Coturnix japonica: one gene and its partners. The protein of the gene in region 1 purifies or fractionates together with the protein of each later gene. This does not show direct contact. Links are inferred from orthologs where the notes say so. Each region holds a gene or a part of one and is shown in the gene's direction. Other genes may lie near its edges. The genes, in order: TIMELESS, CLSPN and TIPIN.

Region 1 (10,436 bases):
ATCTCACCACCATGGTACCCCACTGCCATGGCACCCCATCATCATAGCATCCCACCACCATGGTACCCCATAACTATGGCACCCCACCACCGTGACTCCTGCCCACCTTGTACCCACAGGAGCTGCACAGCAGGCGCTTCTGGCAGGGGGTCTTGGCTGAGGCTGTGGCAACTCTCATCTTTACCGGGGTGGTCCTGGGAGCCTCAGCTGCCCCCAGCCCCCTGATTCCAGCCCTGGCGGGGGGGCTGGTGGCTGGGACATTGAGCTGTGCCCTCAGGGCCCCCCAGGCCAACCCAGCCCTCACTGTGGCTCTGCTCTGCACCCACAAACTGGGTGCCCTGCGTGGGGTTGCCGTGCTGCTGGCACAATGTACCGGGGCTGTGTTGGCTGCCGCTGCTGCTCGCCTGGCGCTGCTGGATGACACCACGATGGTCACCAGGGTGAGTGTCCCTGTCCCTGTGCCCATCGTGGTGCTGGTGGGTGCTGAGGTTTATTCTATGCCCGCAGGTGAGTGCAGCAGGGACGGCGGGGCAGGCGTTGTGCTGGGAGATCTTTGCCACTTTCCAGCTGGCGTTCACCACCTTCGCTACCACCAGCCGTGAGGCTGCTCCCAACAGGCTGGCACTGGGCAGTGCCGTCATTGCTGGTGCCCTGGCTGCGGTAAGGACCCCCCAGTGCCCCTTGTTTGCAGCCCCTTGGCCTGGCTACTCCTGACCTGCTCCCCCAGGGGCCATTCTCGGGGGGCAGCATGAACCCAGCCCGTTCACTGGGACCTGCCATCGTCACCGGCATCTGGGACGACCACTGGGTGAGTCACAGCACTCTGGGTATCCCCAGGGACCCCACTGTGGGGATGGATGACCTTCCCATCCCATCCCATCCCTTCCCATCCCATCCCATCCCATCCCATCCTCCCCCAGGACAGCCAATCCCCCTGCCCCCCCCCTTCCGGCCTATCATTTGCTCCCCCTGAATTACCCTCAGCTTCACCCCCATACAGGGTCCTCCTCATCCCCCCATCACAAAACAGGTCCCCCCAACCCCATCCTTTGGCCCTCCAGCTCCATCCCAAACGTGGTTCCCTCCTCACCCCTGGAGCAGCTCCTTCTGCTCAGTCCCCATCCCTAGTGTGGACCCCTGGCAGCCCCCGACCCCCATGTCACCCTGGGTATCCCCCCTCCTACTGGTCCCACTGACCCCCCCCTCCAGGTGTATTGGGTTGGACCGGTGCTGGGTGCTGTTCTGGCTGGGTTCTGCTATGAGTTCATCTTCGCCCCTGGTGCCTCCCGGGAGAAGCTGTTTGCCTGCCTCACCTGCCGGGATGTGGCACTAGTGGAGACCACCACCCCATCCCCTTCCTCACCTCCCACCGCCCCCCTCAGTGCTGCCTGTACCCCCCCATCCTCCCATGGCCAAGGCTTGGCCTGATGGGTGAGCTTGGGGGGGCTCCTTGCCTCCTCCCCCCCCCCACTCCAAACCATCCTCTTCCCCATGGGGATTAAAGGTGACTTTGAGCCAGAGATGAGAGCAAAGTGGTGCTGTGGGATGAGGGGGGGGGTCCTGGTGCACGGGGTCACTGTGGGGCCTCTCCTTGCGCTCCCCCCATGTTGTACCCCCCCCGTTGGCCCCATAGTGGGGGCCAGGGGGCTGCTCCTGTCCTTTGTGGGTGCTGAGTGCAGCAAAGCCTTTTGTCGGAGCCTCTGCAGCCCCGGCAGATTCCTATGGGCACCAATGGCTGTGCTCAGCCCTAATCCCCCCCCGGCCGGGGGCTTAGTGCCTGCTAAGCCAGCCTGAATGCACCAGCGCCAGGCATGGGGGGGGGGGTCAGTGGCAGCCCCCGGGGGGGGCACCTGCACCCCTGTGATGTGGGGCTGGGTGTGGGGCACCTGCAGCCCTTAGGATGTGTGGGGTTGGGGTGGGCTGGATCCCAGTGCTGCCGTCCCATTGTATCACCCCAAAACTTGGCTGGGGTCTGGGGGGGTTGTCACAGTGTTGTCCACAGCCCCAAGTATGTTGTTGACCCTAGGCCCTATAGAAGGTGGTCAGAGCTACCCCCTAACTGGCATCCCCAGGGGTGGGGGGCACAGCTCTGGGTGGGGGTCCCACACTCTTAGGGCTGTAGGACTGCCCCTAAGGGGGGCACTGGGGTCTCACACAGCACATCTCCCACCCCATATCCCGGGCAGCGAAGCAGTTAAGGGGGGGTGGCAGCAGTGGGGTCCCACCCCCAGGGCTGGGTGGGGGGGGGGGGGCTTATAAAGGTGGGTGCGGGCAGCCCCCGGGAGGGGAGCGGGGCCGCAGCGGGGCCGGGCCATGCGGGAGCTGCGCTCGTCCTCCTTTTGGAGGGCCATCCTGGCTGAGTTCCTGGGCAGCCTCCTCTACACCCTGCTGGGGTTGGGGGCTTCGCTGCGTTGGACCCCGGGATCCCATGGGGTCTTGGGGTCCGCCTTGGCCTTCGGGCTGGCCCAAGCCACCCTGGTGCAGGCGCTGGGGCACGTCAGCGGTGGCCACATCAACCCGGCCATCACGCTGGCTTTCCTGCTGGCATCGCAGCTCTCCCTGCCCCGTGCTTTGGGTTACATGATGGCTCAGCTCCTGGGTGCCCTGGCGGGGGCTGGAGTCCTCTATGGGGTGACACCGGCTGCCGTGCGCGGCACGTTGGGCCTCAGTGCGGTGAGAGGGATGGGGGGAGAATGGGGGTGTTTGGGGTATTGTGGGGCTGGGGGTGGCTGAAGGGGGTTAATGGGGAATTGGGAAGAGCACTGAGCCCATCTCCCCCCACAGCTGCACCCCAGTGTGGGTCCAGGTCAGGGCACGGTGGTGGAGCTGCTGCTGACGGCTCAGTTCATCCTCTGCGTCTTCGCCAGCTTCGATGAGCGCCATGATGGACGCCCCGGCTCCGCTGCGCTGCCCGTCGGCTTCTCCCTCGCCCTCGGACACCTCTTTGGGGTAAGGGGGGGTGGCAGCCCCATGGGGTAGGGGTGGGGGGCAGCATTCACCCACCACCCCCTCCTTGCCCGCAGATCCCATACACTGGTGCTGGTATGAACCCTGCACGCTCCTTTGCCCCCGCTGTCATCACCCGCAACTTCACCAACCACTGGGTAAGTGGGGGGGACCCTGCGGTCCAGCTCAGTCCATTCCAACCCATCATCCGACCTGTCCCAGTCCATCCCAATCAGCCTCAACCCACTGCAATCCCACCCAGTCCATCCCAGTATAACCCAGTCCATCCTATTCCTACCCCAGTCCATCCCAATCAGTCCACTGCAGCCCTATCCCAGTCCATCCCAGTCCCATCCCAGTTCTATCCCAGTACATCCCAGTCCATCCCATTCCTGCCCCAGTCCATCCCAATCAGCCTCAATCCACTGCAGTCCCACCCAGTGCATCCCAGTGCTATCCCAGTATAACCCAGTTTATCCTACTCCTGACCCAGTCCATCCCAATCAGTCCACTGCAGTCCTGTCCCAGTGCATCCCAGTCCCATCCCAGTTCTATCCCAGTATAACCCAGTCTATCCCATTCCTGCCCCAGTCCATCCCAATCAGCCTCAACCCACCGCAATCCCACCCAGTCCATCCCAGTCCATCCCAGTCCATCCCAGTCCATCCCATTCCTGCCCCAGTCCATCCCAATCAGACCACTGCAGCCCTATCCCAGTGCATCCCGGTCCCATCCCACTCCATCTCATCCCAACCCAATCCATCCCACTTCTGTCCCATTGCCCCCTATGCCCCCATCCCACCCACAACCCAACAGCCTGCAGCAGCCCCCAGTCATCCCCACCTTGGGGGGGGGGGGGGGGGGGCATCCCTTATCACCCCACTCAGTGATCCCTTTCCTCCCCACATTTTTTCCCCTTATCTCGGGTGGGTGGGGGGTCCCCTCGCCTCCCCCCCCCACGCCGCCCCGCTCCCCAATTCCCGTAAGGTTTGTTTCTGGGCGGTCCGTTGCTCGGTGCCGGGTTTGGCTGGCTTCTGTTTTTGTACGAGCTGGCGCTGTGTCCTCGGGCCGTCAGCATGGCTGAACGCCTGCCGTGCTGCGGGGGGAGCCCCCCCGTCACCGCGCCCCCCCGCCGAATCTGCTACCGGCTGAACGCTGGAGGCTGAAGACTCAGGGTCTATAGGGTCTATAGGGGCTATAGGGGCTATAGGGGCTATAGGGTCTATAGGGGCTATAGGGTCTATAGGGGCTATGGGGGCTATAGGGGTTATAGGGCCGCCCCCCCCCAACCCGGGGCCGCCTTTGCTGGTGTCGGGGCGTTGCGGTGCGTGTGTGTGCGGCGTCGGTGTGCGTGGGGGGAGTTGGCGGAGAGGTCGAACGGCCTCACCCCCCCCCGCAACAACCCCGGCCCCCCCCGCCGTGACCGAGCTTCTGTGTTCGGTGAAAATTAAACCTACGCTTAATTTTGTAACGGCTCTCGTGGGGGGGGGGGGGGATATGGGGGGTAATGGGGGTAATGGGGGTATGGGGGTAATGGGGTAATGGGGGGTAATGGGGGTGTTATGTTGTGTGGGTTGTGGATATGGGGGGGTAATGGGGGTATGGGGGGGTAATGGGGGTATGGGGGATATGGGGGTATATGGGGGGGTATATGGGGGATATGGGGGGCATATGGGGGTGAGAGATATGGGGGGTAAATGGGGGGGTAATGGGGTGAGGGGATGTGGAGGGGTAATGGGGGGGGAGGGATATGGGGGGTAAATGGGAGTAAATGGGGGGTATATGGGGGGGTAAATGGGGGGTATGGGGATATGGAGATTAATGGGGTATGGGGGTGGGGGTAATGGGGGGTTATGGAGGATATGGGGAGGGGGAATATGGGGGGTTAAATGGGGGTATGGGGGGATATGGGGGCTAATGGGGGTGGGGGGCAGAGCGCGGTGCGGTGACTTCCCGCGCCCCAGGCGATGTCCCGCCCACGGGGCGGGGCTACAGCGCAGCGTGAGCCTTTCTTAAAAGGGCAACGTCGAGGTGGGGCCATTGAGGGGAGCAGCGCGGTGCGGGGATAACGGGGGTGGGCGAGTGTTCACCGCAAGGGAGGGTGAGGGGGGAGAAGCGCGTTACGGTGCGTGGGTATTGTTTATAGTGGGCGGTGCGTGGAGGAAGGGGGGGGGGTGACCCGGTGGGTGCGGGCGTTGCCGCTTGAAGGCGTCGGGGGGGGGGGGGGGGGGGGGGGGGGGGGGGGGGGGGGGGGGGGGGGGGGGCGTGTTCTGACCGACCCCTCCCGTAGAGAGCGTGAAGGATTTGATCCGGTACCTGCGGCACGAGGATGAGAGTCGGGACGTGCGGCAGCAGCTGGGAGCGGCTCAGATCCTACAGAACGATCTGCTGCCTCTGCTCGTTCAATACCCGCAGGATCGGACCCTGTTCGATACCGTCATCAGGTACCGGGGTGTAGGGATGGGGGGGATGGTGCGGGGGCAGCATGGGCTGGGGTCCTGAATCCCACCCACACCCCTATAGGCTGATGGTGAACCTGACACAGCCAGCGCTGCTTTGCTTCGGTAAAGTGCCGTCAGACGCCACCGCCCGGCATCACTTCCTGCAGGTGCTGTCCTACCTGCAGGCGTATAAAGAGGTGAGGATGTGAGGATACAGCCATAGGGGGGGTCTTCAAATTCCCCCCCCCCCCCCCCGAACACGCACACATGGTGCTCATAAGGGGTTTTCTGCAGGCGTTCGCCAGTGAGAAGGTGTTTGGGGTGCTGAGCGAGAAGCTCTATGAAGTGCTGCAGCTGGTGGGTGCTGGAGGGATATGGGGCTGAGGGTCTGGGGCTGAGCTATGGGGCTAGGGAGGAGCTATGGGGCTGGGAGCCTGAGGGGGTGGCTATGGGGTTGAGGGCCTGGGGGGGTGGCAGTGGGGCTGAGAGCTGGGGTGGGGGGACAATGGGGCTGAGGGTCTGGGGCTGAGCTATGGGGCTAGGGGGGAGCTATGGGGCTGGGGACCCAGGGCTGTGGGGTTGAGGGCAGGGTGGGGGTGGCAGTAGGGCTGAGAGTTGGGGTAGGGGGGACAATGGGGCTGAGGGTCTGGGGCTGAGCTATGGGGCTAGGGGGGGAGCTCTGGGGCTGGGGGCCCAGGGGGGTGGCTGTGGGGTTGAGAGTCAGGGTGGAGGGACAATGGGGCTGAGGGTCTGGGGCTGAGCTATGGGGCTGGGGGGGATCTATGGGGCTGGGGGGGGATCTATGGGACGGGGTCCCGGGGAGGTGGCTGTGGGGTTGAGGGCCTGGGGGTTGGCAGTGGGGCTGAGAGTCGGTGGGGGGAGGGGGAGACAATGGGACTGAGGGTCTGGGGGGGAAGATAGGGAGCTGGGGGTCTGGGGGTGGAGCTGGGGGTCTGGGGGGGGGTCTGGGGTGGGCTATGGGGTTGCTGACAGCCATACATTGCAGGACTGGGAGCAGCGGCAGGAGGAGGACACGCTGCTGATCGAGCGGATCCTGCTGCTGGTGCGCAACGTGCTGCACGTGCCCCCCGACCCCGCTGAGGAGCAGGTATTGGGAAGGAGGGGGGGGGGGGGTACAGACACAGGGATCCCCACTGTAAGGTGCCCTACGTGCTGCCCACCCCCCTCTGTGCTGCCCCTCAGGGTGTGGATGGCGATGCCAGCGTGCACGACCGCGTGCTGTGGGCTCTGCATATCAGTGGCATGGATGACCTGCTCAAGTTCCTGGCCAGCGCGCCGACTGAGCAGCAATGGGCTCTGCACGTCCTTGAGATCATCTCCCTCATGTTCCGTGACCAGGTGAGCGTGGTGGGCACGGAGACCACCCCCAGCCCCCCATCCAGCTCTGTTGACACCCCCTAATCCCACCCTACAGAGCCCGGAGCAGCTGGCAGCGCTGGGACAGGGACGGGTGGGTGCAGAGTGTGGGGAGGACACACAGGAGCTGCAGAGTCTGAGGCAGCGGGAGCTGGCAGAGCACAGAGCACGGATGCTGCAGCGCCCAGCCAGGTGGGGAGGGGGCTGGAGGGGGGGTCAGGGCCCTGTCGTAAAGCCAACATGGCTCATCATGTGCATTCTCCCCTCCAGACACTCTCGTTTCCGTGGTTCCTACGTCATCCAGGGGCTGAAGGCCATCGGGGAGCACGACGTCATCTTCCATAAGGGGCTGCACAACGTGAGAGCTGGGATGGGGAGCAGCAGGGGGGGCTCGGTGTGATGTGGAGGGGGCTCAGCGTGGTGGGCACAGCTCACATTCCCCCCTCTCACCCCACAGCTGCAGAGCTACAGCCACGACATGGGCAAGGAGACACGTCGGGTGCCGCGGCGTCGCTGGGCCCCCCCTGAGCCGGGACCCCCCCGACGTTCAGCCCGTAACGTCCGGCTCTTCCTGAGCTGCTTCTGCCAGGACTTCCTGGAGAACTGCTACAACCGCCTGATGCTGCTGGTCAAGGTGAGGATGTGGGGGTGGCTCCCCACACTTTAAGTCACCCCTCCCAGTCTGGTTCACCCTGTGTTGAACCCCCCCCCCCAAGGATCAATTACTGCGGGAGAAAGCCCAGCAGCACGATGAGACGTATTACCTGTGGGCCACTGCCTTCTTCATGGCCTTCAATCGTGGCCGGGGGTTCCGTGCTGAGCTGGTGTCGGAGACGGTGGGTGTACGAGCCTTCCACTTCATCGAGCAGCACCTCACCAACTACTACGAGATGGCACTGATGGATAAGAAAGAGGCGACCACCTGGGCACGCAGGTGGGGGTCACAGCCCCTCCATAGCCCTGAGACCCCCTGCATCACTACCTGACCACCCCTCAATCCCCTGCAGGATGCACTTGGCCCTTAAGGCCTACCAGGAGCTGCTGCGCACGGTGCAGGAGATGGATCGTTCCCCAGAGCCAGCAGTGAGAGACAGCAGTCAGGTCATTAAGAGTGAGTCCATCCCTCTGGCCATCCATATGTGGCTGTCTGTCCATCCATCCCTCCATCTGTCTGCATGGCCCCCTCTCTTTGTGTCTGTCTATCCACATCTTTGTGCATCCATCTCTCAGCCTGTCCCATCCATCCACACTGACCCTCTCCTTTCCCTATCCCCCCCTATAACCAGACCACATCTTCTATCTGATGGAATACCGGGAGCTGCTCCTGGCTCTATTCCGAAAGTTCGATGAGACAAAACAGCCTCGTGCTTTCCTACGGGACCTGGTGGAGACGGCTCATCTCTTCCTACAGATGCTGGAGCGTTTCTGTCGCGGCCGCTCCGGCCTCGTGGTGCAGGTGGGTTGGGGTCACTAAGGGCTGTGTGTGGGTCCTTGTGGACCCTCCTGACCCCCATCATTGTGCAGAGTAAACGTGTGAGGAGGAGGAAGAAGCCCCGTCCCCCTGCAGCGCCGCAGCCGCCGGGTGCAGCCGAGCTGGAGGAGCAATGGGCAGCGGTGTCCCAGCAGCTGCAGGGCTGCATGCAGGTAGGGACAGACCCTGCTGTCATGGGGGGTCTATAGGGTGCAGGGTGATGATGTGACCCCCCCCTCACCCCATCAGGGCACGGTGCCTCTCCCTGAGGATGTGGTGCCCTTCGATGCTGCCTCAGAGACCCCCATAGAGGAGCAGCGCGCTGCAGCTCTGCTGCGCATCCAGGAGTCCCTGCGGGAGGGAAGGGCCCCCCATGCCCTGCGACTGCTGCGCTCTGCCAGGTACCCCCCAACCCCCCCAGCCCCTCAGTATATGGGGATGCAGTGCCAACCTCTGCTCTCCATCCAGGGAAGTGTGGCCTGAAGGGGATGTTTTTGGCCCCCCCGGTGTGGAGCCCCCCGAGGAGATGGAGCTGCTGCGGGAGATCTGCTTTGCTGCTCTGCCCCGTGAGTGCACGGCCCCATCCCTTGGTATTGAGGTCTGGGGGTGCTCTGGGACCCTTAACCCTGCCCCCTACAGGACCCACAGCCCCCCTTGAGGCTGAGGATGCAGAGCAACCAGAGGAAGAGGAGGAAGAAGAGGAAGAGGAGGAGGAGGAAGCAGTGCGGGTATCCGAGAAGGAGTTCAACTTCATGGACTACCTAAAGAGGTGAGGAGAACCTCTGAGAGTAATGATGGGGGGCTGCACAGAGCTGCTCACTAATTATTTGGGGGGGGGGGGTCCAGGTTTGCCTGCGTGCCCGTGGTCCGTGCCTGCACTTTGCTGCTGCGGGGCTACGCACAGAACAGTGCCCGCACCAACCACTGCACTGCACGGCTGCTGCACCGCCTGGCCCGGCAGCTGCGCATGGAGCCTCTGCTCTTCCAACTCTCCCTCTTCACCCTCTTCAACCGCCTCCTCAACGACCCCTGTGCCCACCAGGTGAGTCACAGCCTCAACCCCTCTCTGTCCCCCCCACCCCGATTCCAGCCCTGGTTTAATCCTGCTGCCCTCACCCCTCTGTGCCCCCCATCCCTCTCCAGGAGCTGGTAGACTTGGCCAAGTTTATCCTGGGTAAGTTCTTTGCGCTGGCAGCCACCAACAAGAAGGCGTTTGTGGAGCTGCTCTTCTGGAAGAACGCTACGGCTGTGAGGGAGATGAGCGAAGGTTACGGCTCCTTAAGGGATGGGGAGGGGTGAGTGGGGCCATGGGAGGGCTGTAGGGCTGACAGAGGGGTAGTGGGGATGGGGAGGGGGCTGTAGGGCTGGGAAAGGAGCTCTGACCCCTCCTCATCACCCCTTTACCCAGGGCTGGAGCACGCCGGACCCCCGCCTGGAGCCCAGAGGAAGAGCAGACGCTGCGGGAGCTGTTCTGGAAATACAAGGAGGCAGAAGGTATGAGGACATTGTGGGGGGCCAAGGGATGGTGGGGAGCCCCCTTGCAGCCCCCCCCCCCTATTTACAGCCCCCTCTCCCACAGGTCAGGACATCATTGCCTCCATCATGGCCGAGCTGCCGGGCCGCACACGGCGGCAGGTTGTGCAGCAGTTGGTGCAAATGGGGCTGGCGGGCAGCGCCAGGGACTTCCCAAGGCCAAGGTGGGGATGAGACCCCCAAGTGGGGACCCCCATGATGGGGAACGCTCTGTGTTTCCAGGGGGGCACCCAGTTGTGTCCTCCCCCCTCCCTCACCCAACAGGAAGGGCACCAATATTGTGCTATGGACGGAGGAGCAGGAGCTGGAGCTGGAGCGGCTCTTTGAGGAGTTCAGGGGGTCGGACGGTGAGTGGGATCCAAGGGGAGGGATGTGGGGGGGGGGGTCCAACTCCCTGCCGACCCCCAACCCCTCCTTACATTGACCCCTCCCCATAGACATCCTGGGGAACATCATGAAGAACCTGACGGCACGACGCTCGCGGGCACGAGTGGTGGAGAAGCTGCTGGCGATGGGGCTGGTGGCAGAACGCAGGGAGCTGCACAAGAAGCGTCGGAGGAAGAACCACAGCCCCCAAATGGTGTGTGGGGGGGGGTCCAGGGGCACCCAACCCCCCTAATGGCACCCAACCCCCCGCTATGGGCACCTAAGTATTACGGTCCCTGCAG
Region 2 (7,665 bases), on another chromosome or scaffold:
ACAGCCGTTCCCCCTCCTGTTATACGCTCCCTTCAAGTACTTGAAGGCCACAATGAGGTCTCCCCAGAGCCTTCTCTTTTCCAAGCTAAACAAGCCCAGTTCTCTTAGTATCAATAAATACCTAATATTTCAACCGAATTAACAATTATACCAAGACAAGTCACACTTCGGTAGAGAAACCCAACCGGCAGAAGAATTAGCTCGGCTATTAAAACACAAGCAAGAAAACACCACATGCAAAATAACACCAGCATTCAACCACAGGCTGCTGACCAATATAACGCCCTCATCAGCCTCTCTGTGCTCACAGCCTCTCTGTGCTCACAGCCGCTGCCGCCCATCCCAAGCACAGCCCGAGTGCCCCATTGACAGCTCAGCCATCACCCGCCCCACAAACTTCCCCCGTAGTTCCCAGCCGGTTCCAGGCCGTGTCGTTCGGTTCTCATCGCTCCAGGCTCTCCCCGCGGCCCAGCGGCCTGTAGCGGCTCCCGAGCCCGCGGCCTCCGCTTCCTCCACCTCCTCCCCTCTCCCGTACAGCCCCCACCGGGGCCTCGCCCCTCCCGCTGTATCTCACCGGGTCCCAACGCTTCCATAGCGGCGGCGGCGGCGGCGGCCTCGCTGCGGTCCCCCCCGGCCCCACCGGCCGCCCCGGGCCCCGCCGCCGCCGCCGCCGCGTAACGCTTGATCTCGGGAATATTGACTTCGGGATGTGGGCCAGGCGAGGAAACGGGGGGGAGCAGCGGCGGTGGGGGGGGTGGCGGCGGCGGCGGGGGGGGAGCTGCCGGAGCTCCGCTAACCCCGAGCGGCGTTGCAAACAATCCCCCCGCTGCGCGCCGCCGAGCGCGCCCCCGCCGCCGCCGCCAGCACGCGCCGCCTCCCGCCGTGCGCGCCCCCTCCACGCTGCCCTGAGCCGCGGGAGCGCGCACGCACAACGCCCCCCTGCTGGCGGGCGGGAGCGCGCACGTCGTTACGCACACAGGTGAGCGCGCCCCGCCCCCTCCCAGCAATGAGGCGCTTCGGTCCGTTGGTTCTCGGCTCTTTTTAACCCCATTTTACACAATATAAAACACATTTTACACAATATAAAACATCGCCTCCATCCGGAGCCATTATTAGAGCCAAATTCAGGCCCTGTGGTAACTAAAGAGGCGCTGTGCGGCCTGGCAGCCCGCTGTTGTCACTCTGTCCGTTCTATGATGTGTTAGAGACATAAAAACAGCCACAATTACCCGGATCTGCACAGAAATAACAGCGGACACCTCACAAATGTCACCGGGAACCTCAGAAATTGCTGTTTTTTCTCCCTTTATCACGCTGCGAGATGCAGCCTGACTTTTAATTGCGACAAAACAACTAATAAACGTTATCAAACCGTTTTTATATTGTACAAAGTGCGGACCTGTCGTGTATATATATATATATATATATAAGGTGAATCGGATCTTACATTGTGTAGGTTCGGGTTGTGGTGTCACCGCGGCCCGACCCCGCACTGAGGAGACCCCGGTACCACACGGAGCTCCACCCCCACACGGAGAGCGCTGATTGGACGGTGCTGGAGAGGGCGGGGCGAAGAGATACAAACACCCAATCAGACACAAGGAAGGCGGGGCTTAAAGGGATGTGCTGAGCGATGATTGGTTGGTGCTAAAAAAGGGCGGGGCTAAAGCAGCGCGCGAAGACTCGAAGAGGTTCATTAGGCGGCACAGGCCGGGCCGGGTCATGGCGGCTCCCGTTGAGGTGAGTGTGACCGCACCGTGTGTTCATCTGCCTCCTACCGGGGATATTACAGCTCCTGTGACCGCAGGGCTGAGGGCGGACATGGCCATTGAGCGACATGGCGGAGCTTCCACAGCTCAACCGGGCGGCCCCGCAGCTCCGTCCTCCCGCCTTTGCTTCAGGACTGCATTTCCCAGAATGCTCAGGGAGGCGGCGCTCACTTCCGGCTCGCGGTGCATTGTGGGAGCTCGTGGCGGCCTTCCGGTGTGATGGCGCTTCACTTCCGGTTGTAGGCCGCGTTTGGTCGTAATGAACTCAAAGCGCTGATTGAGTTGTGTGTGTGTGCGGTCACGTGGGGCACAGGCACGTTTAGACACTAATAAACATTGATAGAGTGTGGAAATACGAGGACAGGCTGAGGGAGATGGGTTTGTTCAGCCTGGAGAAGAGAAGGTTGCGGGGAGACCTCATTGCAGCCTTTCAATACCTGAAGGGAACCTACTCTTCCCTTAAACTCTTCGGAAGGGCTGACAATAGCAGGACACGGGGAAATGGTTTGAAGTTAAAGGAGGGAAGATTTAGGTTGGATGTTAGGGGGAAGTTCTTCACTAGGAGAGTGGTTAGGCCCTGGAACAGGCTGCCCAGGGAGGTTGTGGATGCCCCGTCCTTGGAGGTGTTCAAGGCCAGGTTGGACGGGGCCATGGGCAACATGATCTATGGGGTCTCTATGGGGATCTATGGAGTCTCCTGGGCAACCTGATCTAGTAAATGTGTATGTTTGGTGGCCCTGCCAGGCAGGGGGGTTGGAACTACATGATCCTTGAGGTCCCTTCCAACCCAGGTCATTCTGTGATTCTGTGATTCTGTGAAATAAAGGCCAATGATGTCTATGTGATCCTATGAAGGAGCACAGCAAGGCCTCAGTTGGGCCCTATGAGTCGTTGGTTGCTAAGAACAGCTGCCCTTTGCTTTGTAGCTCCAAGCAGAAGAGCTGGATGTGGCTGCGCTGAAGGCCCAGGGCAGGGACACAGACAGCGGGCAGGGCAGCACTGAGCCCCCATCACCAGCCATCAACACCACGTCACTGCAGGATGGAGGTCTGTAATGGGGCTGATGGGCTTCACAGTGGGGATCTGCTGGGCTGTATGAGGCCAAAGTGCCGCTTTGGTTGCTTAGGATGTGACCAGAGAGCTGTAGATCTGACAAAAAGGGGTTTCGAGGTTGTCACGAGTTATTGAGATTTACCTATGACCGTGACAGGGGGGAGCCACCCCATAGGGCCCCCAGGGCCTGGAAAGGAGGGGGGAAAGGAAAATGGGATAAAAACAGCGGCAGTCTAAGGAGGAAAAACTTATTTTACTAAATATGATATCGGAATACAAGATAACACAATATAATATAATTGAGGCTAATAAATCGAACGAAACACAAGAGAGAGAGTCCCCAAAAACCGAGAGGCCGACTGTGAACTAGAGGCGACACGGCTGGAACGCTTCCCACTCTCTGAGAGTCCAAAAGAAAGAGAGAGCTACAGCCTGGGAACAAGATTATACAGCGTCCTGGTCCCGTGACTCATCCCTGACCTTGTTGTTCTCTGGGATCTGTAGTCTTCTTCTGTGGACTGCACATTCAATAGAAGTATCCATGCTTTACATGATGTTATGATGTGGAATACTGATAGCAAAATTACAAAACCATGACAGAGGTACAGAAAGGGAAGTTATTATTTCAAACTTTATTCATGTCAATATAACTGATGCCAACAGTTAAATAGATTGACATCTGTAACATTTAACAGATGCATAACTGTATACACTGTATTGATAACCGATTGCTTGCTAATTAACCAGTGTAATGTGCTTTTCCATAGCACGTATCACTTCTTTTAATATAATTTTCCAGATTCAGAAGAAGAGATTTTTGTAAGTAGAAAAGCAAAAGGCAAGAAGGTGCTTCAGGACAGTGAAAGCGAAGATGGGGAGGACAGTGACTCTTCTGTGCAGAAGGAATCTCAGAGTGGAGACAGAGAAAATGGAGAGGAAAAGGAGGATGTTATTGCCCAGAGAAACAAGAAATCCCGGATTCGGCAGGCTGTGCTGGACAGCGATGGCAGTGACAATGAGGATCATTTGCAAACTGATAATCTTGACACAAGCAAGAAGTCTGACTTGCCTGAGAATGAGCTGGAAGAGGAGAAACAGCTGAAGTCTGGGAAAAAATCCAGAAAGCATAAACATGGTTTTGAAGGTGAAGCAGCTGAAAAAGCTGTGGGGAAACCCAGAAGAAGAAAAGAGAGGGAGAGAAGAGCTGAGTCCATCAAACAGCTGATAAAAGGAAAGAAGCCGAGCTCAGAGGTATGTGCTTTTGGCAGAAAATCTCAGGTGCTTTCCACATTAAGTTAAATGTTTATCAGTATTTTTGTTTCGGTGCTTCTGCGTCCTTTGTGTCCTCATTACTGCAACAGACAGGGTATAATATCCACAAGGATTATTGAGTCCCATTAATTTTAGCTGTAGGGAACACTGCTCCATAAATTTAGCTTATCAGTTTTGCGGTGCTCTGAAGTAAACAAGTCCGGCTTATGGGCAAAGCAGATGCTAGACTAAGTTTGGCCATACCCACATTCTAAGTTCCCTCGAGATCTGTTGACAGTAATAAATGCACATAGAAGAACTGAAGAGGAAATCCTGAAACAAATAATTCAGCTATTTTCTTTCTGGACCCAGCAGGTGGATGGTGGTGAGAGGAATCCTTCAAACGACAGTGGGTGTCTTCTTGATGACAAAGAACTTTTTGATAATGGCTTAGAAGAGGAAGATGATTCCTTCGCAGGGGACGAAGAGTCAATAGAGTCAATACGAGCTGCAGTGAAAGAGAAAATAAAGAAGTACAAGGTATAGCAATAGAACATTGATGGATATTAGCAGAAAGCATTTTATTTGAGCATATGTGAAACCTATTGACAATTGTTCTGTTTATAACAGAGGGTAAAACAGTCCTCTGTTCTTGAAGATAGAGGAATGTGTATTGGAAAGTTATAAGGCTACAAAAGAAGCTTTGGAGATTTGCCATAGTGTTATACAGGATTTGTGCTCGTTGATGAGGATGTGTACAGATCCTGTTTTGCTGGTTTTGGTGACCAGTTATGATATTATATAATAATTTTGACTTGTTTGCCCTCACTATGCCTGTCTATGTACTGAAATAAATGAATCTCTCTTTTACACACTGTAGAACAAAGAACGGTTTTCTGAGGATGAAGGCTACAAACATGTGTTTGATGATGATAACGAGGAATCTGCATTAAAAGAACCGAAAAGGAAGGTGAAGTATTTTTATGTTGTTTGTTACAGTTACTCAAACCACTGGGAGTTTTTGGTGCCTTTTCAATGCTATCTTATGCTGTTGTTGATTTGCTGTTTGTCAGTTTCAGTTGGTTGTTTTGTGCTGACTTCTTGTTACTTGAAAGAGTAACAGCTATTCAGGGAATAGAGTCCCATAATTTTCCATTCTGACTTCAGAGACCTTTCTTTTCTTTTCTTAAGGAGCGGAAAGCAGCAAAGTTGAGTAAGGAAGCCATTAAACAGCTACACAGTGAGACCCAGCGACTCATTAGAGGTACGACTAAATTCTATTAGTATGTAGTGGGGTTTAAATTAGTAAGAAATTCAGGGGAGAAATGGAAAGGATTTGTCTGAAAGTGTGGATCTTTCTTTTACCTGGCATTAGTTACTTAGGGTTGAAGATTAAAAGACCGCTTTTAATCAAGGACCTTTTTAAAGGTATAAATGCCTTAGATGACTATTCAATTTTTCTTGCACTTTCAGAATCATCTGTGTCTCTCCCATACCATATGCCTGAGGCCAAAAGTGTTTGTGAATTCTACAAGCGTAGATCCCGACCAGTGTATGAAGGAAATGCCATGGCGTTACTGAAGTAAGGACTTAAACCTTCCTCATGTATTATCAGGAATATTGAGGATATCCCTCCTTTGCTCCAGTTTTTTATCCTTCACCTCTTCCTATACATCAATAAGAGAAAACTATTTTCTTCTCTCAGTTTGTTCTCAGCCTTTTCTCTCCTTTCCTGATAACCATAATTTCTTTCTGCCTTCATTAGGTCCACTAAATACCAGTTCACCCTGAATGAAGAAGCTGAAGGCACGAAGACCTCAAGCACAGGTTGCAAAGACGGGCCAACAGAAGGTGGTCAGTCAGCAGCTAATGAGCCAGAAGCAAATCTTGGTGGAGATGTTGATACTGCTGCCAAGGATCCTCGCCTTGGTGTAGGGCAGAACTTGACAGAAGACTGTGCTGAAAAGTCCAGGAAGAACAATGATGATTCTCGTAGTGCTGTGACTGTAACAACTGCCAGTGAAACAGAAGAACTGCAATCAGTCCTAAGCACTGATTGCAGTGAACAGAAAGAGAGTGAGGTTCCTCTACCATTTGAAGGCAATGCTCTGGAGCAAAGAGGTGAAACAGCATCAGGCCTGGAAAACAACCAACAAGTGAGGCCTGAATCAACAGCACAGCCTGAAAAAGTGAAGAAGTCCAAACTGGATAAACTCCGTGAGCTGGGAATTGATTTGACCATCAAGCCAAGAATCTGCTCTGGCAATGAATCTTTTATAAACCTCGATGAATCTGATATGAATAAAGGTATCACTTATTTTTGTCATACTGTCAGATCTTCTTAAGTAAGCAGAGTGAAACTAAATTTAAAAGGAAAACCTCTAAGAAGCGTTAGAGCAAAGTCAGGCATGTTTTCTTACCATTACAGATTCTAATGTGTTTCCTTTAACTAATGGTGGAATGGGAAATTCTGATTCCTTAGTACTCACATGCCTGAAGGAATGCTTACTCCAGCCTTTAGTCTTTAGTATATATATTAAGAGAAATGTAGAGATTCCTGGTGGCTGGAAGTGCAGAGTGGCATTGAGTTGAGGTCTTGTGGATAAATCATACTCAGTGGTAATGTCATGTAGTACTACTTACTGCAGAAATACTCTGTAACGATTTCTTATGTCAAATTGTTTTATAACTACCAGAATGTCCAGGGTTTACAGTTTTTAATTAACTTCTTTTGAAAAAATGTTAAGATCTGCTCTTGATACAAATTTAATAGTATCAAATTCATTTACTTTTCATGCAACCAATGTGGATTTAAAGAATTAGAAGCCTTGAAGGCGCGTTTCCTGAAGCACACCCTTCAAACATCGAAACCCAAAGCAGAACGGACCATAAACATGAACATTATTCGTAAGGAAACCACATCGGAAGGAAAGGAGGAACTAAAAGCAGACGTGGTGCCAGCGGTTTTAGCTGCAGAGAGCCTGGATGAAGCAGCCCTCACAAAGCCAGGTCAGTCTGGGAGTTGTGGTGGTTATTTCTTGTGCTATAACACATCTGCCCATGGCTCTCTCTCTCTTCCAGCTGACAGATCAATTCATAAAATCATTTAAAAAACGAGTTGTTTTAAAATTGCGTTGATGTACGTGTAGTTGCATTACATTGGATGCTTGAAAGCAACAAGGTTCAGGATTCAACGTAGTACATCTAACATAGGAATTAATTCATTTCTGTCCAGGTGAAAAGCTGCAAGTGCTGAAGGCAAAACTCCAGGAGGCCATGAAACTCCGCAGGAGTGAGGAGCGCCAAAAACGGCAAGCACTGTTCAAACTGGATAATGAGGAGCTGCTGGAGGAGGAGGAGGAGGAGGAGGAAGAGATGACAGATGAGTCTGAGGAAGAGGAGGAAGGTGATCATGAGGTCTGTGTGCAACATGTTCAGATAACCCACTCAGATTCTCAATTCTGATTCTCCTCAATGAAAGTAGACTACTAACATGTACAAAAGATTCTGATGCCACTCATATAAATGTCTTGTCTCATTCCTAGCAGGGGAAAATGTCTTTGGAATGAATTCATTCCTGATCCAGAGTGGA
Region 3 (9,828 bases), on another chromosome or scaffold:
GAGCGGTATTTGGTGTCTTCGTCCGGAGCTCCCAGCGCTCTGAAAGCAGGAGAGAAGCTCCTTAAGGCGGTAGGAAGGGGAAAACCGTCAGGGCTGGAGGTGTGAGGGGAGCGGGGCCTCAGGGTGCGGCTCTGGGCGTCGTGGCGGGCTCCTGTCGGGGCGAGCTGTGTGTGAGCCCGGCTGTGGAGAGATACAACAGCCCTCAGCCTGGTGAGCGGGGATGTGAGGAGCTGGGGCCGTCATGAGCCTGAGAGACCTCGGCCCTGGCCTGTGGGTTGAAGGGATAAGCTGTAGGTTGGGGGACCCGCAGCTCAGGAGACTAAAGTTGTTAGTTTGTGTGGATAACAGCTGGCTTGAAAAGCACTTAGTCTGAAATGCTTTTGTTGTGTGCTTGTGTTCTTACAACGACCCACAGCCACCACTCCCAGGTAACCAAGTGTGAGAAGCCCATAATTTACTTGGCTCGGCAATACTGGGTTGTGTCATCCTTCTGCATAGTATCTGCTGCTTAATTTATGTAACGTGCTGTTTGGCAGAGCTTCCTGTGGAAGGGCTGGGTCTCACGTAGCTGATGTTTGTTTCTGTGGCAGGTTTGTTGGTTTTTGCATTCTTTTTAAATGCTTCTGATATTTCATAGGCTCGTTAAGGTTGGAAAAGACTTCCAAGACCCCCCAAATCCCAACTCACCCCCACTGTGTCCCCTGACCACATCTCCACTGTGGAATTTTGGAGTTCCCCATCCCAGTTCTCTCATCTGCTCTTTGTTTCCCACAGGAGGAGGAAGAAAAGTTAATCTGTGGCCATGATAGATCCTCTGGAGAACAACTTGTTTGATCTCCCTGATTATGAGAATACAGAAGATGAAACATTTCCACCCCTCCCACCTCCTGCGTCTCCAGGAAGAGCTGATGTTGAATGGGCTCAAGCTAATGGAGGTGAGAACCCTGTGAACCCTGGAGATTTTTCAGTATAGAATGAAATGCTGAGAGATCAGCTTTGTTGGAGTTCTACTTCAATGTGTTGTGCTTACTCAGTAAAAATAATCCAAGAGTAAAAAAAGCAGTTAAGTTGTTCTTGATCCATACTTGTGCAGTGAGTTTACCTTTGTAGATGCCATGGGAATGTTTGCATGCATGCACACAAGACTGCCAGCATTCCAGGGAGATGGTAGGAGTTTGGTTGTTGGTTTTCTATCTTAAGACAAAGACAGAAAGCAAAAAATAAAGTTCAAGTTACTTTCTATCAATTGTATATGGAATGTTCTGTGTGTGGAACAAGGGAGCAGGAAGTACGTAATTCTTGATGTACGAAAATTAGAGTTCTAACTCCTGGGTGTCTGATGTTTAGACTGGCAAAGTCTTAAACAAGAAATCAGTGTGATAGTAATTACTGCTGGGATGGATTGTGGTGCCGTATCCATTGCAGTCAAATGTATGAGTATTAGCCTGAATCAAAAAGTGAGTGAGCCATTTGTGCTGTATGCTTACAGTGTGTGATTTTCTTGGTTAGATCTGGATGGAAACCAGCAGTCAGAAACAAAGGATTCTTCTGCAGCTGCACGGAAAGCAGTTAAAAGATCGATACCTAAACTAGATGCTCACAGGTATTTTTGGACTTAGTGTTTCTTTCCTTGATAAACTTGGTGCATGGCTGTGATGTGGTAATTAAGGTTACTGTGATTTCAAGTGCACTTGAGTGAATCCTCAGTACAGTGATGTCTGCGAGGTGTGTTATGTAATTAATGCTGACACCTGACTTGCATCTGAAGTAGATAAACTGCCTGTAAAGGATGCAAGTACTTTCCTTGCTCTTACTGCCAAAACTGGTGTAAGTTCCTCACGAGCATTAGAAAGTACCTAAGCTTCAGGTACATTTTGTTTTAAACATACTGTTGAAGGCTTGGGTTGTGTATCAAGTTTTACATGGCCAGTGTAGGTACCAGAAATGACTGTTCCATTTTCTTTCCGTGTAATCCTAATAAAAAAGCTGTTTGGACTGGGGATGTATGTATTGTGTATTTTCAGAAACTCTCAAGTCTTACAGCAGTCTTATTTCCTGTGTTTTCTCCATCTGTCCTGAATAGAGTTCTGTAGCTTCGGGTGATAAGGGAGAATGTGTGCTTGTTTCTTTTTCATTAGGAGGAAGCTGGATTTCAGGTAATTTTACCATTGCATGTTTACAGGTTAGTTTCAGAAAGAGGACTTCCTGCCTTAAGACACATGTTTGACAGTGTGAAGTTCAAGGGTAAAGGGCACGAGGTAAGACGTGGTGAAGACGTGGTGAACTTCTGGGGTGTTTCCTGGCAGATTAGCTGAAATCAACAGATTGCTGCCTGTCTGGTGTGGGGAGGATTGATACCGAACTCTGGTTAAACAGCAGCTTTCTGACAGTATTTGGGCACATCCTGCTGTGGTTTGTAGTTGCAAGATTGAAAAATAATACTCTGCATGGCTGCTTTGTGAAATGGACATTTTAATCTTAAACCATGCCGGTTACTGTCCCTGTTTTACCCACAAAAAGAGGTTTTGGGAATTGGAATCGCTTTACAGGATTTCCTAGGTAATCTGGAATGCAGAACACACAAAAACATACATCAAAATAAATACCAGCTGTGCCCTGTGAAATTTTAGTTGGGAATTGCACCTGCATTGCTTAAAGGCATCTCAGAAACCTACCAAGTGTTTCACAGTGCACGCAAATGCTTTTCCCGAGCTCTTATTGCTTGTTTTCTTCCAGCTTTAATTGCACTTACAAACTTGATAGCAGGATGGAAGGTTACCCAAGCATTCATATTATTTTGATTTTCAAGAGATTTTCCAACTGTGGGCACTTTGTGTTTCCAGAAACATTGCTATCATGTTTCCCTCTGCAGTTTGCTGATTTAATCTGCTTCTAACAGCTGGATTTCTTGTTTTATGCTCAAGGCAGAGGATCTGAAGATGCTTCTACGACACATGGAGCATTGGGCTCATAGATTATTTCCAAAGTTGCAGTTTGATGATTTTATTGACAAAGTAGAGTCTTTGGGAAACAAAAAGGAGGTTCAGGTATGTATTACTCCTGTCGGTTTGCTTTCATGCAGTAATGAGCAGTATAAGGAGTTGGCTTAGGAGAACAGGCACACAGCAGAAGATTTAAGTTATATGGATCTCCTTTAATAGGGCATCTCTACAGAAGCAATCAGCGTTAGAGTGCAGGAACTACTTATGCTTGAACTTGGACTCAGAGGCTTATAAAGAATGTTGCTTCATGTGGCTGATGATAGAATAAGAACTAGAAAAATGATTGTGGTATTTAAGTTTTGGGTCGAACAGATGCATGAAAGAAATATTATTTCAGAATAGTACAGCATAAAGAAAAACTGGGAATACTGTTAAAAACATATCAATGTAAGACAAGATTTTTTCATAGATGAAACATCCCTAGTTTAATTTTTCCTCATTTGCAGACCTGCCTAAAACGAATTAGACTCGATCTTCCTATTTTACATGAAGACTTCGCAGCTCATGAAGGTAAGTTTGTTGCACTCTCAGTTCAGTACTTAAAACTGTACTGCCCCTCTTACTAACGAGGAGTTCATGATTGTGGTACATTTTCCTGCTGTAGAAGCTATTGTTGAGTGGTCCTCCTTTACAACCAGGCTTATGTAGGACTTAGAGCTGTAAAACCAGACTCAGAATAAAATGCTTCCTGTACGTATTAAAAGTGTGTGGCTTGAAAGGAACTTTTAGTAGGAATAAGAACTTTGTAGTCTTTCCTAACGTCCATTGCAAATATTTATATTCTCTCTCCCTGTGGGTCTCTCTTGAAGCAATTATCTGCACTTTTTTATAGTTCAGTTCTGATGAACAAGCTGTGTGATGGTAAAGCCTTGCCCTGCCTGTGGGCATTGCCTTTGGGCGGTTGATGACATGTGGCTGTCTTTGCTGTTGGCTGCATTTGCTAGAAATGGAATGCAGCCGTGAGCAGCCACAGATAGTGAGGTTAATGGTTCCTGCCGACAGTATCTGTAGAGGTATCAGATGTTCTGTGCGATGGTTCCGTACATCTGTATTGCAGCACAGTGCTGGTGTGTTCTTGAACCGCACTGGCAACCGTACGGCTGGTAAGTCACCAGCTGGAAAGTGTGCGTGGCTGTCCTACTCAAAATACAACTTTAAAATGTGGAATATAATCAGGAGTTACTTAAAATGCTTTTCTGATATATATTTAGTGGAAGGTCTGTGTTCAGTGTGATGCTTCCTGCTCCTTCTGGCTCTCTCCCTCCATTCCTTTTTACCCAGGTGGTGGAGGTGGAAGCAATGGGCTGGATGCGCCCACCGAAGACGTACATTCCTTCTCTGGAGAACTCGATTCTCTCCCGGTTACAACTCTCACTGAAGAGCAGCAGCAGCGAATCGAGAGGAACAGGCAGCTGGCCTTGGAACGTCGGAAAGCGAAGATGCAGTTAAACAGCCAGTCCCAGCATGATGGTAAGCAGTTCTAGTGTCAGTGTAAGCTCAGCCTGAGAGGTTCTGACAGCTGAGCTGCTGAGGAAAAGGTCCTTGGTACTTGCTTTACTAGAGAGTAGAGAACTGTAACTCCTGATCTTAAACTACAGTCCCGTAGGTAGATCCCTGTAAAGCTCAGAGATCCACTCTCCCCAGCTGACAAGCTGAACTGTGATAGCTTGTCTCTGGTGAAGTGAGGCTGACTTGCTAGTTGATTCTAGTGTTGGCTTTCCTGAAGGTTGTGATTCAGGCAACGGAAACTGCAGCCATCAGGCACACAGCAACAGCATTTTCTCACAGGAGGCATTTTGTTTTTCCTTTATCAGGGCTCTCTCATAGTTATCCTGAAGAGGAGTTTAACATCCCCGCTGCTCAGGAAATGATTGGTGCTTTAGAAGACACTCAAGTTACTGCGGCCAGTGTTGCTGTTACAGAGACTGAAGACACAGAAAAGGAATTGCAATGTGCCAGTGAAAAGCAGTGACCATTCCTCATGCTTTGAAGGACTTTCTTAATAGGACCCCAACTCTAGGGGGGTCCTTCATAGGACGCCAACTCCTACCGCTTGTATTGAAACATTGCTGGTTCTTTCCAGTCTGACTCCAGGGGTTTCAGGAAAGCCTTAACTGTTACGTCTGGGGAGCTGGTCACAGCTGTTTTCATGAAGCTGCAGATGAATCGCTCCCTATGTTGGAAAGCAGAACACTGTTCTTCAGCTGCAGATGAGACTGTTTTGTTCTCTTACTGACATTGTTTAGGAAATGGCTTTCCTGGCCTACTCTGACATCCTTCAGTTGATGTCAAACTGAATTTGACTGAGATGTTAAGTTTGCGTGCACATCTTTGATGCAGGATACATGATAGAGAATGGTGTTATACTTGAACAGGAATCCTGGATATTTTTTTAACTCACCAAGTAGTTGTGTGCGTTTCTTATGAAATGGAAGTTATTAAATTTCAAAAGTCAAACAAATTCTTGCATGAGGCAGTTTAAATTCAACTTCCCAATTTGTGCAAGTCATCGCACATTGTGTTTTGGCTTTGACTGAATTAGTCTCACTTTATCTGATCCTGTTTCCTGGCTTAAAGCTCTGTACTGTCACAGTACTGTCTTCTTCCTCTCTTATGCGATAGCTGCAGCAGTCCAGTGCACTCTTCTGCTCTGTAGAATGAATGTAGTTTCAAGGATGACAGCTGTGCCAGAGCCCTGAGAATGCCTTACCCAGCAGCATAGAGCAGACTTGCTCAGCCCTACCTGAGGCCCAACGTTGCACATAAGGCAGGTGAAACAAGTTCATGTCAGTGGGTTGTATATGATGCCAGTTGTGCAGCTGGGGAATTGTGCATAAGGGAGGTTCTGGGTTAGTGTGACTGAATTCATTTTGTGTGAACGTAGGTATGAGTTAAAACTCAATAGAGTGGAAAAGAACCACCAGTTGTACTAATTAGGATGATGGTAAAGCAATACTTTAGGTTTAAGAATGTAATGTATGGAGAACAAGGGTAAGCAGGCTTTTTTTCATTGAACGACAAACAAAAGGATTCTCAACACGGGTTTTAGTCTGGAAGGTAACATTTATCACATAAAAAATCTTTGTTGCGCATGCTCATGATCAGCTACAAAGAGATCTTATTTAAAACAGACAATTTATCTCATTAAAATGACTTCATTTTTAAAAATATACAAATTGTACAAAGTAACTGTAAGCAGAGCATCAACAACTACATGCATCAGCTGAGACATCTAATAGAGCCCAGTCCCTGATCTCCTCCAGCAGCTGGTACAAACTTGCTCCCTTTGTCTGGCAGTACTCCTGATACTCCGGACACTGTTCTTCAATTACTGCACTTCTTGCTTTTTCCTGGGCGCTCAGCGCTTCCGCAGACTGACTGACTGCTCTGACTAAGTCAGATTTCACCACGCCAAAATTCTTCTTGGAAATTTCTGTGGCTGAAGTCTGGAATGGGGCGTTCTTGATTATTTCAAGCTTGATTGTGTCAGCGTGGCAGCGGGAAGTCTGCACGAGTATCTTCACCTTAAAAGCAATTTAAAAATCATTTTATTGCTGACTATGCTATTTCCTTTTACTTTCTTCAAATTAAGTACTCACTGTGATGTGATCAAAGAGGCTTAATGTAACCGACTCTCCAGTGGTTGTAGTGGAAGTAATTCTATTCTGAAACCGCTGAAGTGATCCAGGCTTCCACTCACAGCTTCCCTCACCTTGACAAGACAGGACTAAGCCTTCCTTGTTTTTCATGTAAGCAGCACCTTTGATTCCATATCTACAAAAAAAAGCAGGTGTGTAGGCATGAGCATAGAAATCCTTCAGAAACCTTCTCGGTTACCTTGCTAATTTGAGCAATCCTTTCTCCATAGCGTCTCCTTTTCAGAATTAAAACATGGAAAAAACAATGTTCATGACTTACAGAAAATCTAAAATGCAGTCATCAGTCAGTGCTTCATTTCTCAAGGACCAGAGGTGACCTCGCAGCATTTCAGAAGCAAATGTCTGATTTTTAGTCTCAGTCCAAGCTCAAATCAACTTACCTTGGCACGAAAACAAGCACACCATTTGTTCGGATCGAGTAGATAACTCCATCTGCTACGCAGCGCTCATCTGTTTCTGGGCTTTTATCTTTGAAGTACATGCATTGGAAGAGTTCAGTAGACTGTTTCTGAGCATGCTGGGCTGCCTGCAGGCACCCCCCACAAAAAGAGAAGACAGAAGGACAGGTAAATATTCTCAGAAGCCTGTATGGCTTTGATATTATATATATTTTTTCCATTACTTATTCCCTAACCTGCTGAAAACAAATTGTATCTAGAAGGAGTGTTGCAATGCTGTAGTACCCAAAAGTCACAGCAGAGCGGTATCCTCTTTCCCTGGGTAACATGCAAACACAGACGCACACAGTGACCACCTTACCCTGTTCCTGTTGTTAATGTGTTTGCACAATTCCTCAAGATCCTTGTTACTGAATAATTTCTCCTTAACATCCTTAGTTTCCTTCAGAGTTGCTGCCATCAAGAGTCTGTGGACAACTATATCAGCGTATCTTCTGATAGGAGAAGTAAAATGAGTGTACTTATCTAAAGCGAGTCCTACAAATAAAAAAGGAAGCGATGAAAAGCAATCAGAGCATTCAGCTGCCCCACAGCAGTTCAGGAATAAGGGGAATTTTATAACAAATGAAAGTGTCAGGATACCATAATGATGAAACTCTTCCTCAGAACAAGAGCCAGTTGAGAAGTACAATGCATTTGACATTGCTTGAGTGGCCATAGATCGCAACAGCTTATTTACAATTGGATCCAATGGATCTTCCGCTTTATCCAGGGACTCAGCCAATGCTTTGTTAGACCTGTCAAAAAAGTGTTAATTTTATTCAGATTTATGTTACCCTGATCACAGTTAAAGTGTGTTAAAGTGCTTAAGAGAAGCAGTAAAAGATACCGTGTGTCTATTGAGAAACCTTTGGCGCTGGCACATTCTTGAAGGTCAGTAAAAAATTCCTGCCGTGGTGGAGGGTGTTGACGTAACAAAGCTTGATGAGGAAAGCTTTCTGAAATCTTTTTTGCCACCCAGTGGTTTGCAAGGATCATACATTCTGCTACAGTCTCGTGTACTTCCAGGGGCTGCTTGGGGATGAGATCATGAATGTTTTTTTTATCATCCAGTTGCACTCGGACTTCTACCCCTTCTAGTTCCAGAGCACCGCAGCTGTCCCGCTCAGCTCGAATGTGTCGTGCTATATCGGTGAGTTTTGATATCGCCCAAACCAGCTCAGACAATTTCTTCTCTCTTGTTTTTCCATCCAAGTCTTTCAGTTCCAGGATCTCATCAACAACACTTGTGTCCCCATCTAATAACCCCTGTGCTACTTCGTAGACTAGCTTGTATGCAGACCGAATGATGCTTTTGTTGTAGCAGACTTTCAGTATCTTGTACGATTCTCTTTCTAGTTCCCACAAGACGCTGACAGCGTACCTTAAAAATAAAACCCACAATTCTTTAAGCAGTTCTGGTTGACTCAACATTTCGAGCACATCCAACTGTTGCAAACTTACAGATTTCATTCTGTGCTGATTTTCTTTCCACATCTGTTTTGAAGCACCATTACACTGCAATAGTTTATTTCAGCTGTTTATGACCCCCTGCTACTTAGGTTACAAATAGTAACAATTCAGAGCCCATGCACACACAGTTACTCTGTGCCACGTGATGAAACATTTTTATTTCTGTGCATCCACAAAACAGGCATAGTCTAACTATGGAACAAAATTAATAACCTTTTTTTTTAGAGAAGTCGGTTTCTTATATGGTGACAGAACTGGTAGGGCCAGCCCAAAAGCTGCACTGATAATCAAAGAGTGGGGGCACAGATGCAGAAGAATAAAACATTCCCTTTGTTCTTAGCAGCACTACTGAGTTAAGCCCAATAAAACTGAACGAGGAATGACAGCTGGATACTTAACATTTACTGTTAACTGAGAAAGTCATCAACATGAATCAGCATTCCCCATAACTGCTGCTGTCTGAAGATCTCAACAGTGCTAACAGGTAGGAAACCCTGGTTTTGCATCAGATTTATTCTGTCAGTAGTTAATTTCATCAAAAATCAGCTGCATTGTCACAATCAAACAAATTGCATTTTGGCAAGCTACAGGATTACAAAGCGCTCACCTCATCTAAGTAATGTAACACTGGAAGCCATTTTTAAGCATACGTTATTCTTTCAGTCGAAGATTTAGTAATGCAAAACATGCATATAGTTATTGAACAAATACTGGTAGTAATAACTAAATTACTTCCAAAAATTTCTTTCCTCAGATATATTAGAAAATCTTACCTATCAACTCCACTGAGAAGAGAGCACACGTCAGCACTCAGCACAGAGGGCAGCATGTCGTAACGGCGATCTGCTAAATAGTAAGTTGTGGCCCTGAAGAATAAAACACATTTACTGTTCTTCCCACACTGACTCACTGGTATTTATCTCCCAGGCAGTTTGCAGTGCAACTACAGTATCAGCAAACAGGGCACGTAGTGTGGTTTGTTATTCTTAAGGTTATTTGTACACAACAGGCAGGTACGGTACTGAAGTCAAATTAAATATTACTCCAGTACAAGTCTAAGTTTGCTTTGCTCTGTATCTCCGACTTCCATTAACAAAAGAAGTAGGGCTGTACAAAATACACTCATTTAACGGTGACAGCAAACATCTCTCTTGGATATTGAGTTTAAATTTCATTCTGCCTACAAAGGACAATACATCTCATAAAGTGATTCAGAAGTTTGAGCTCCAAGCAGTAGTAATAATAGAAAAAAGAGTA

What was found.
Region 2: the proteins of TIMELESS (region 1) and CLSPN purify together in Homo sapiens (affinity purification with western blotting; 4 studies listed by BioGRID). This does not show direct contact. The link is inferred for Coturnix japonica from reciprocal best matches to the Homo sapiens genes TIMELESS and CLSPN.
Region 3: the proteins of TIMELESS (region 1) and TIPIN purify together in Homo sapiens (affinity purification with western blotting; 6 studies listed by BioGRID and IntAct, counting the BioPlex papers as one, with this or other methods). This does not show direct contact. The link is inferred for Coturnix japonica from reciprocal best matches to the Homo sapiens genes TIMELESS and TIPIN.

The regions. Positions count from the first base shown.
Region 1 is NC_029544.1:1,735,298-1,745,733, forward strand, and holds the start of TIMELESS (protein timeless homolog), read left to right. Parts: upstream 1-4,197; coding exon 4,198-4,270; intron 4,271-5,236; coding exon 5,237-5,390; intron 5,391-5,469; coding exon 5,470-5,584; intron 5,585-5,681; coding exon 5,682-5,744; intron 5,745-6,393; coding exon 6,394-6,495; intron 6,496-6,590; coding exon 6,591-6,746; intron 6,747-6,822; coding exon 6,823-6,956; intron 6,957-7,034; coding exon 7,035-7,122; intron 7,123-7,221; coding exon 7,222-7,398; intron 7,399-7,480; coding exon 7,481-7,698; intron 7,699-7,771; coding exon 7,772-7,875; intron 7,876-8,050; coding exon 8,051-8,220; intron 8,221-8,288; coding exon 8,289-8,408; intron 8,409-8,484; coding exon 8,485-8,636; intron 8,637-8,703; coding exon 8,704-8,801; intron 8,802-8,874; coding exon 8,875-9,004; intron 9,005-9,081; coding exon 9,082-9,277; intron 9,278-9,378; coding exon 9,379-9,530; intron 9,531-9,643; coding exon 9,644-9,729; intron 9,730-9,814; coding exon 9,815-9,932; and 5 more. Other genes in the region: lens fiber major intrinsic protein-like, read left to right, coding at 2,314-2,673, 2,785-2,949, 3,024-3,413. UniProt on the Homo sapiens protein: Plays an important role in the control of DNA replication, maintenance of replication fork stability, maintenance of genome stability throughout normal DNA replication, DNA repair and in the regulation of the circadian clock.
Region 2 is NC_029538.1:3,748,867-3,756,531, forward strand, and holds the start of CLSPN (claspin), read left to right. Parts: upstream 1-1,630; 5' UTR 1,631-1,722; coding exon 1,723-1,740; intron 1,741-2,695; coding exon 2,696-2,816; intron 2,817-3,621; coding exon 3,622-4,073; intron 4,074-4,445; coding exon 4,446-4,613; intron 4,614-4,953; coding exon 4,954-5,043; intron 5,044-5,264; coding exon 5,265-5,337; intron 5,338-5,546; coding exon 5,547-5,655; intron 5,656-5,838; coding exon 5,839-6,380; intron 6,381-6,890; coding exon 6,891-7,082; intron 7,083-7,308; coding exon 7,309-7,490; intron 7,491-7,665. Other genes in the region: protein argonaute-4, read right to left, coding at 575-593.
Region 3 is NC_029525.1:16,730,517-16,740,344, reverse strand, and holds the end of TIPIN (TIMELESS-interacting protein), read left to right. Parts: exon of another isoform or gene 1-106; intron 107-536; exon of another isoform or gene 537-590; intron 591-774; 5' UTR 775-802; coding exon 803-935; intron 936-1,509; coding exon 1,510-1,603; intron 1,604-2,182; coding exon 2,183-2,258; intron 2,259-2,924; coding exon 2,925-3,047; intron 3,048-3,448; coding exon 3,449-3,512; intron 3,513-3,913; exon of another isoform or gene 3,914-4,049; intron 4,050-4,283; coding exon 4,284-4,472; intron 4,473-4,816; coding exon 4,817-4,974; 3' UTR 4,975-5,461; downstream 5,462-9,828. Other genes in the region: DIS3L (DIS3-like exonuclease 1), read right to left, coding at 6,206-6,526, 6,602-6,776, 7,042-7,187, 7,421-7,596, 7,702-7,856, 7,949-8,482, 9,345-9,437.